Linked DNA regions of Yarrowia lipolytica. The protein of the gene in region 3 purifies or fractionates together with the protein of the main gene of each other region. This does not show direct contact. Links are inferred from orthologs where the notes say so. Each region holds a gene or a part of one and is shown on either strand. Other genes may lie near its edges.

Evidence for each region.
Region 1: the proteins of YALI1_C05636g (region 3) and YALI1_F26915g purify together in Saccharomyces cerevisiae (affinity purification with mass spectrometry, with the first as the bait; 3 studies listed by BioGRID). This does not show direct contact. The link is inferred for Yarrowia lipolytica from reciprocal best matches to the Saccharomyces cerevisiae genes ENP1 and RRP46.
Region 2: the proteins of YALI1_C05636g (region 3) and YALI1_C18892g purify together in Saccharomyces cerevisiae (affinity purification with mass spectrometry, with the first as the bait; 3 studies listed by BioGRID). This does not show direct contact. The link is inferred for Yarrowia lipolytica from reciprocal best matches to the Saccharomyces cerevisiae genes ENP1 and RRP7.

The regions. Positions count from the first base shown.
Region 1 is NC_090775.1:2,690,230-2,692,337, reverse strand, and holds YALI1_F26915g (uncharacterized protein), read left to right. Parts: upstream 1-810; coding exon 811-1,461; downstream 1,462-2,108. Other genes in the region: YALI1_F26873g (uncharacterized protein), read right to left, coding at 1,830-2,108. UniProt on the Saccharomyces cerevisiae protein: Non-catalytic component of the RNA exosome complex which has 3'->5' exoribonuclease activity and participates in a multitude of cellular RNA processing and degradation events.
Region 2 is NC_090772.1:1,888,006-1,890,473, reverse strand, and holds YALI1_C18892g (uncharacterized protein), read left to right. Parts: upstream 1-1,182; coding exon 1,183-1,947; downstream 1,948-2,468. Other genes in the region: YALI1_C18901g (uncharacterized protein), read right to left, coding at 1-295; YALI1_C18878g (uncharacterized protein), read left to right, coding at 2,427-2,468. UniProt on the Saccharomyces cerevisiae protein: Plays an important role in the synthesis of 18S rRNA but is not required for the 5.8S and 25S pathway. Is necessary for the cleavage at site A2. Is required for efficient association of RPS27 with the pre-ribosomal particle.
Region 3 is NC_090772.1:561,833-565,052, forward strand, and holds YALI1_C05636g (uncharacterized protein), read right to left. Parts: upstream 1,773-3,220; coding exon 501-1,772; downstream 1-500. Other genes in the region: YALI1_C05649g (uncharacterized protein), read left to right, coding at 3,108-3,220. UniProt on the Saccharomyces cerevisiae protein: Required for normal export of the pre-40S particles from the nucleus to the cytoplasm.

The DNA.
Region 1 (2,108 bases), on a different chromosome or scaffold from region 3:
CGGAAAAATTCCACTCAGAAAGAGTCGGCTATTGAAGATAGGTGTGGACTCTTGTATTGTTGGTTTACGTAGATGAAAAAATAATCTGAAAAGGTGATTTTGGTTACCAAACCAGTCTCTTCACAATTACAAACAATTTTTCTCCTTTATACAAAAGCATATTCAGTTACAAGCACTTTGAGCTAACATCACAACCGCATCCTTGCATCATCCCTCTATTGAAAAATACGAGCCTATTCCAGTTAGAAATCAACCAGCCCTTGCTCCAATCGTGCGGCATCGTTAGTCAGGGTTTGGCGGTGGTTGTATAGTGGGGAGCGTGGGTGGAACATTGCTACAGTGAGAACGATATTGTACAATACAGTAGTTACATAATAACACTATCGAGCCACTTACTCAGGAGCCCTTGTCTTTTGTTTTGGAGTCACTATCATTTAGTGCTATAAAATGGTTAATATTGTAACTATTACTTGGACTACAATTGTAGCTACTAATTGTAGTAGGTTGCTACTACCACGGTTCTTGCAGCTGTAGGTACTGGTTTGTACTTGTCATCGCTACCGTTCTCTCTCAGAGCTATCAGTATACACCTACAGACATAAGGACCGGATTAAAAGATTCCAGGGCCCATAAGAACCCACATGAGACAACAAATAATACAACTCACGTGAATAATAGAGGTTTGCCCCGATTCAATTTTCAGACACCACTTAGTCATCATCACCTCTCTGATAAAGTTCATATGCAAGAAATATTTCGAGGATGCCATATTGCCATTAACCATCACCAGCATACAAAAACACACACAAAATGAACATTTTGAACAATGTGGATGGATCTGCCAAATGGGAGCAAGGAACAAGTGTGATTTGCTCGGTCACGGGTCCCATAGAAACTCGGCGACGGACAGATGAACCTACACTAGCTCAGGTGGAGCTGGTGATTCGTCCTGCTATTGGACAGGCCACAACCCGGGAGACACTGATTAAGGATCGAATCTACAGTGTTTTGGCCGCCACAGTGGTGCGAAACTTGTACCCTCGCATGTTGCTTCAGATTGTGATTCAGATTCTTGAACAGGGTGAAGGAACCGGATACAACGTGCTCAAGCTAGCGGCATGTCTGAACGCCATGTGTCTGGCATTGATTGACAGCAGAACGCCCATGACTGGTCTTTTTACAGCAGTCGCCATTGCCATTGTCGACGATAAGCTCATTTTGCATCCCACTCGAAAACAGGTGTCTCAGTCGACGTCTACACATGCTGTTTCGTATTTCGTGGAGAACAACAAGGCCACGGGTCTGTTGATGTGTGAGAGTGAAGGTGAGTTCACCGAGAACCAACTGTTTGAGGTGCTTGAGCAGGCCGCACGTGCATGTGAAGACGTGGCTCTGGATATGAGAGAGCGGATTGAGAAGGGTGTTAAGGAGGGCCTTCGAATTGATGCTGGGCAGGAGTAATGCATCGGTAATTTATACCTATTAATGGATAGACATGAAAAGACACGTAATAATGGGCGGATGACAGGATGTACTGTAGTTTATGACACACTTGAATGATACATAGTAGGGCAGGAGCCTGTAGGATTTCTATAGAAGGATCGACATGTTGAAGTAGGATCAAAGACACGTATAACGAATCCAACGTACAAGTACAAGTATGGATGTACTGTACTTTTTTGGTATCAATCATACAAATACAACAGCTGTCTCTTAGTTACTTCTACAAGTTCATATTAATGCACACACGTATATTTACTCACACTACCTTTACACTCTCATACAATACAATACACATTATTCATTCAGTAGAGATTTACAAGATCCACCTAAGCAGAAAGCTTCTTGAAGTCCTCAACCATGGAGTTGAGACCCTCGATCTCGGCGGTCAGAGCCTCAAATCGCTTGGTGTTAGACTCCTGGACGTCGGCTCGCACCTTGGTCTCGTAGTCCTTAACGGCCATCTGCTTCTCGAGCGAAGCCTTGGACTTCTCGCACTTCTCGATCTTGGTGTGGGCCTTCTTGATCTCGGCGTCGAGGTCAACGAGACCCTTGACAAGGATGTAGACAGAGCACTCAGGGCTGACGACAGAAACAACACATCCGTC
Region 2 (2,468 bases), about 1.3 Mb from region 3:
CAGCCACTCTCACATCCTCGCGCTCCCGTCGTTTGAGCTGCGGCTTGGCAGAGGCCGCGTCACGTGATCCCGAGGTGGTTTCCTTGCGGGCGATTTTTGGCAGGTAATTGTATGCTGGTCGTTTTGTTTCCGACGTTTCTTGCTTGGGATCGTTTCCGTCGGATTTGGTGGAGTCGGACTTGGTCTCGGGGGTTGCTGAGTCAGCAAGAAATTCACCGCCTGCGATTTCCGCGGCGTCTCGGGCGTCAGCTGACTCTCCTTCGGCCTGGTAGCAGTCGCGCGCTGGGTCGTACATTGTGTTCGGTGGTGTTTTGGATGTGCAGAAAAAGATGGTGATGGTGTAGTTGGTGGTTTAGAGTTTCCGAAAGTGGTGAGGGCTAAACATGGATAATTCTGGGGATACTGGGGCCAAAATTGATATTTTTAGGATCCTGGCGGTTCGAAAAATACAATGGTAACGAAATAATTGTGTTTTAGTGCCGTTTAAACGATGCATATGGATTAGGTAATGGGAGGTCGGATACGTGAACCTTAAACGAATTAGGGTTTTATTACCCTCGGCATTTTGGTGAAGTTTTGGATATGTAGATTTGGCTGAAAATTTGGATGGGAAGTGCTGGAAGCTGGCGGTGGTGGTGGATGCAATAATCATCAAATTTGGAGCATTATTGGGGGAGTTTTGGGGGTTGGGTTTTGTTAGCAGTTGTGTCTACTTTAAAGTGAATGGTTGGGATTTTTCACTGGACGAAATTTAAATAATAAAATAATAAAATAAAATAAAAAGAAATAAATGAAATGAACTAATAAAATACATAAAATGAAATGAACAGGAAATTAAATAAATGAACAGAAATAAATAAAATAAAATAAACTAAAATAAACTTAAACTAAACTAAACTAAAATAAAATAAAATAAAATAAAATAAAATAAAATAAAATAAAATAAAATAAAATAAAATAAAATTACTCAAGAAATAAAAAAATAAAAATTAAAAAACTAAAAAAATCTACAACTACAGAAACTCCCTCTCCCTCCTACACACCCAACAATCTCCTTCCAAAATTTGACCCTCATCCTTCTCATAACCTCTGCGGTGAATCTTTTTACATGTGTCATGCACGTCTAAAAAAAATCCCGTCCTACATCTACACACATACACGCACAAACATTTTGCGACCAGAATGAGCGGCTACGAGACTCTACCGCTGAAAATGCCCAAGGGCAACACGCACTATCTGTACATGAAGAAGGACGACAATTCTGCTGCGTCGGAGGACTCGACGATCTTTGTGTGCAATCTGCCTGCGGACTCGACTCTTTCTCACATCAAGGCCTTGTGTCAGAGTCTGGGGGGCAGCATTGTGGAGAGTTTTGAATGGGTGAATGTGAGTCGCAATGTGCGGGCCGAGTCGCTGACACATGGTCTTTCTGGCGGCTGCGGTCGTATTCACATGGTGGATGCGGCTTCTTGCAACCGGGTGTTGAGTCAGGCCAAGAAGAATGCTACATGTGGAGTCAAGTGGGACGCCAAGCTGACGATTGGCGGCAAGCAGCGATACCAGTTGCTATGGAAGTACTGTTTCCCTGCGCCCGACGATTTGCAGGCCGAGGTGGACTATTTCATGGAGGAGTTTGCGGCCCGAGAGGAGGAGGAGAAGAAGGTGGAGAAGACGGGCCGAACGGTGGTGGACGCCGACGGATTCACCACGGTGGTCAAGACGCAGAAAAAGAAGTCGTTGGCCATGCAGGAGGCCGCCAAGCAGCAAGCCGAGGAAATGAAGCTCGCTGAGATCAAGCGACGAGAGAAGCGGGAGAAGAAGGATTTCTACCGGTTCCAGATCCGAGAGTACAAGAAGGAGCAGATGACCGACATGCTGACCAAGTTCAAGGAGGATCAGGAGAAGGTCAAGCAGTACAAGGAGAGTGGGCGGTTCAACCCGTATTAGGGCGCAGTAAGAAGCACTTCAGACTGCGTTGAGAACCGCGTTCAGATAGCATTCAGACAGCCTCTGACAGCATTCAGACAGCCTCAGACAGAATTTCATTTTGACAGCCTCAGACAAGTGAGACGTCTAATCTGACGATTTGCTGCTCACTGAGAGCAGTTGATGGCCACTGCTTGCATGGTGTGGGTGGCTCAACCGCGGTACTACGACCACGGTACCACGAGGATACAAAAGACAACAGACAGTTATAGATAATGGATATTGGTTATGAAGCAGTGTAGATACAAGAGGGGAGTTCGAGGATGGAGACTCAGGACGAGGCAATGATGATCCAATGCGTATAGGAATACGCCGACGATGTTTCAGAGCTTGATCTTTGGTGTGACTCGGATCTGTTTCAAAATAGATCTCTCACCCACGGATTTAATCCGGTGTAACAGTGTGTATGAACACTGTTGCTCGTCTCACAGCGAGCGATAATGCTCCGAAAACAGCGGCTCAGGGTTCAACTGGTTTTTAAA
Region 3 (3,220 bases):
TCGCCAAGTGATTGGCCCCATACATTCTCAATCCATGAAATCTCATTTGTAGCCTGAATCCATGAAAATCCAAAGATCTCAGATTCGACCCAGAAGGACCAAAGAAGTCGATTATTACATTATTTCAACCACAATAAAACCATGTAAGAAGTCCATTTAACGAAAACTTGTCTCCATGTGGCTCAATCGGATTACACCCTTCGAACCATGTTGGTTTGAATAGCTACTTTTTGGTTGAAGTCGAAGGGTTTGAGGATGTAGGGCGAATAGGTTCCTTTGCGCTTTCTGGCACTCATATTTGTGCAATAAAATACGTCTTTTCCTCTCTTGTCGTTATGGTGCACCTCTAGTATCGTACTGTTGTACATTTTCACATCCATACTGTCTTTACACTAACTAAAACCCCACCGTGTACACGCAAACACCGCTAGCAACGCTCTATACCAATCAACCATCTCTAATTATGCTACATACATCTATTATAGTCCTTTTTCCGTTAGTTAAACCTCCATCTGCTCATCCACAATAGGTCGAGACTCGCCAGAAATCAATTCTCGTCGAATTTCAGGTGTAATCTTGGGATGGTTTTTGACCTTGATGACATCCAGAAGAGCGTCTCGCTGATCCTCCGTGATATCACTCTTGTATCGCTGGGCAAAGACCAGAAGGGACTGATGCCAGATGACGGGGAGAGCCTCTTCAACGTGAGCGAAACGCATGAAATGGAAGACCACGGCGTCAACGACTCGGTAGGGCAGAGCGTACTTCTTGTCGAGCAGCACCTTGATGAACAGAGAAGTGGGGCCGGAATAAGGCATCTCAGCCAGTCTCATGAGAGCAGCAGCAGAATGCAAAGTGGGGATAGAGACCTTGGACAGAATGGAGCTGACAATGATGGCCTCCTTGAGTGTGCATTGCTCAGCCAAAGGGAACAGGAAACCCTTGAAGAAGGCAGAAGGCTTATACAGAGCCTTCTTCAGGGATCGATAAACGTGGTAGTTTAGGGTCTTCTTCTCTTCAATCTCCTCCTTGAATCGCTCCAGCAGCACAATCTGGATGAACTTCTGGGCCTCCTTAGCCTGCTGGTTGGACACAAACATCTTTGTTCCTTCGTAGATTGCGTTGGGAGACCAGCTAGCAGGATCGGTCACGTACAGAACATCCTGCCAGTTTCGCAGCGTAGGCACAATCTTGAATGCCTTGGGCAGCTTTCCAGACTTGTATCGGCTCAGAAGCTCTCCGACCTTCTCGTAGACTGCAATGACCTTGGGTGGAAGCATGACTCCCTCTCCCTCCAAACCCTGGGAGGTTCCAGGGGCCTCTCCAGTTCGCTCAAACTGCTCCTCCTCTTCCTTCTCTCGAATCTTGGCCATGATCTTATCGGCCAGAGAAACAGGCTCGTCCTCATTGAAGTACTTCGCGTACAGAGCAGCATCCTCAGGGGTCATAAACTCCTGTTGCACATCCTCGTACTCCTCGTACTCCTCCTCATCCTCCTCCTCGTCTTCGTCCTCGAATTCCACATCGTCATCCTCGGGAAACTCCTCGCCTCGCTCCTCCTCATCCAGCTCTCGCTGCTGATCCCGTGCCATCTGCAGAATTCGTCGCGAAGTGGCCGAATCAATAAAATCCTCCTCTGCAGCATCGGTCTTCTTGGTGTTTCGGGAAGTCTTCTGCTTGGCGGATTCTCGAAGAAGTCCGCTGCCCTGGCTCATGTCGACATGAAGCGGGCTGTGTCGCACCTTGGCGTCTTTAGTATCAGCTTTTCCCATGGTTGTGCGGTGCGTGGTGTTGGTGATATGGTGGGATTAAAAAATATGCCAAACCGTATGCAGCATGCACAATTTTTTAACGTTCCAAAATAAGGTTGTCACGTGACACAAATCGAGGGGACTAAAATTTGGTGAAACGAGATTATATTCGTTTTGATCGGATTTTTGCAGAGAGAACGTTGGTGCGAATGGTATGAGAATTTTATGTATTCGCCACTATTCCGAGATTCAGAGTAACTATAGGGTTAGGATATAATCTTATTTATCAGTCCATAATGCCAGACGACGACAACCTGGAACTGATTATAGATTTCACGTTCGCCATTAAGATGCGCAAGATTTCTCATTATGGTGATTGCGATGGTGCTAGAAGTATGAATAGCTACTTATGAGTGAAATTCCAGTTCGACAGTTTATGGTGAACATTGGCTACTACAGTATGGACAGTATGTACTTCTATGTGTATACTCGATGTTCATGTTCCTGTTGCTTGACGTCATCATACCTCCACAACTAGCCGGAAACAGATTCACTTCTTTTTTTCTCATGCAATTGACTGAATACTGTACATATAATGCATTTTCACCAGAATTCCGAGTAACCAACTGCAAGTCAAAGGGGTACGAGTTGAACTGGGTTCACAGTTTTAACAGGGATAAGGGGTACTACTTGTACGATACTTGTAAACGGGTGAAATTTCAGAAACCTTAGCGAAGGAAAAATGGTAGTCAACAGAAAAGAGATTCGACTTTTCCTAATCCCTTTTAAACGGTCACGTGACTAAAATAACCAGCCCCATTGCTGCTCACCTTTGACTTTTCCTAATCCCTTTTAAACGGTCACGTGACTAAAATAACCAGCCCCATTGCTGCTCACCTTTGGGTCTCTTCCGAGCCGGCTAACGGTACATTCTCAACGGTTCGATAGAGTTTGCGAGTCAGCAACATGGAGGATGGCCGTATTGGATCCGGGAAGCTATTTTTCAGGGGTATGGAGTTGATAGACAGCTTCTAAGTGGTAGTATAGGTCTAATCACGTGACTTTCACGATCACATGGGGCGGCTGGAGCAGTTTTAAGCCCTTCTGTTGAGCTCATCGCATCATGCATTGCTTTTTAATTTTGGCTCTCCTCTTTCTTTTGAGTTCACTATATCAACAGCAACTACTGGGCTTGGCTTGGTTAAAAGGAGAGGCAGTGATTGAAAGCATTGGCAACTGTATCTCTTACGTCAGTCACTTCAGACACGCCTTTCTACACACACGCACGTTCACAGAGACACAACCACAGACACACACAGACTCACAGACACACATACAGAACAGACATAACACACGATGGTCTTACTACTGGCAAACGTTGCGAAGGGGATGAGCACGGATGAGGCTCGGGCTAGACGAAACGCACGACGAGAGGCCCGAAGACAGGCGCAGAACGAACGACGTGCCGC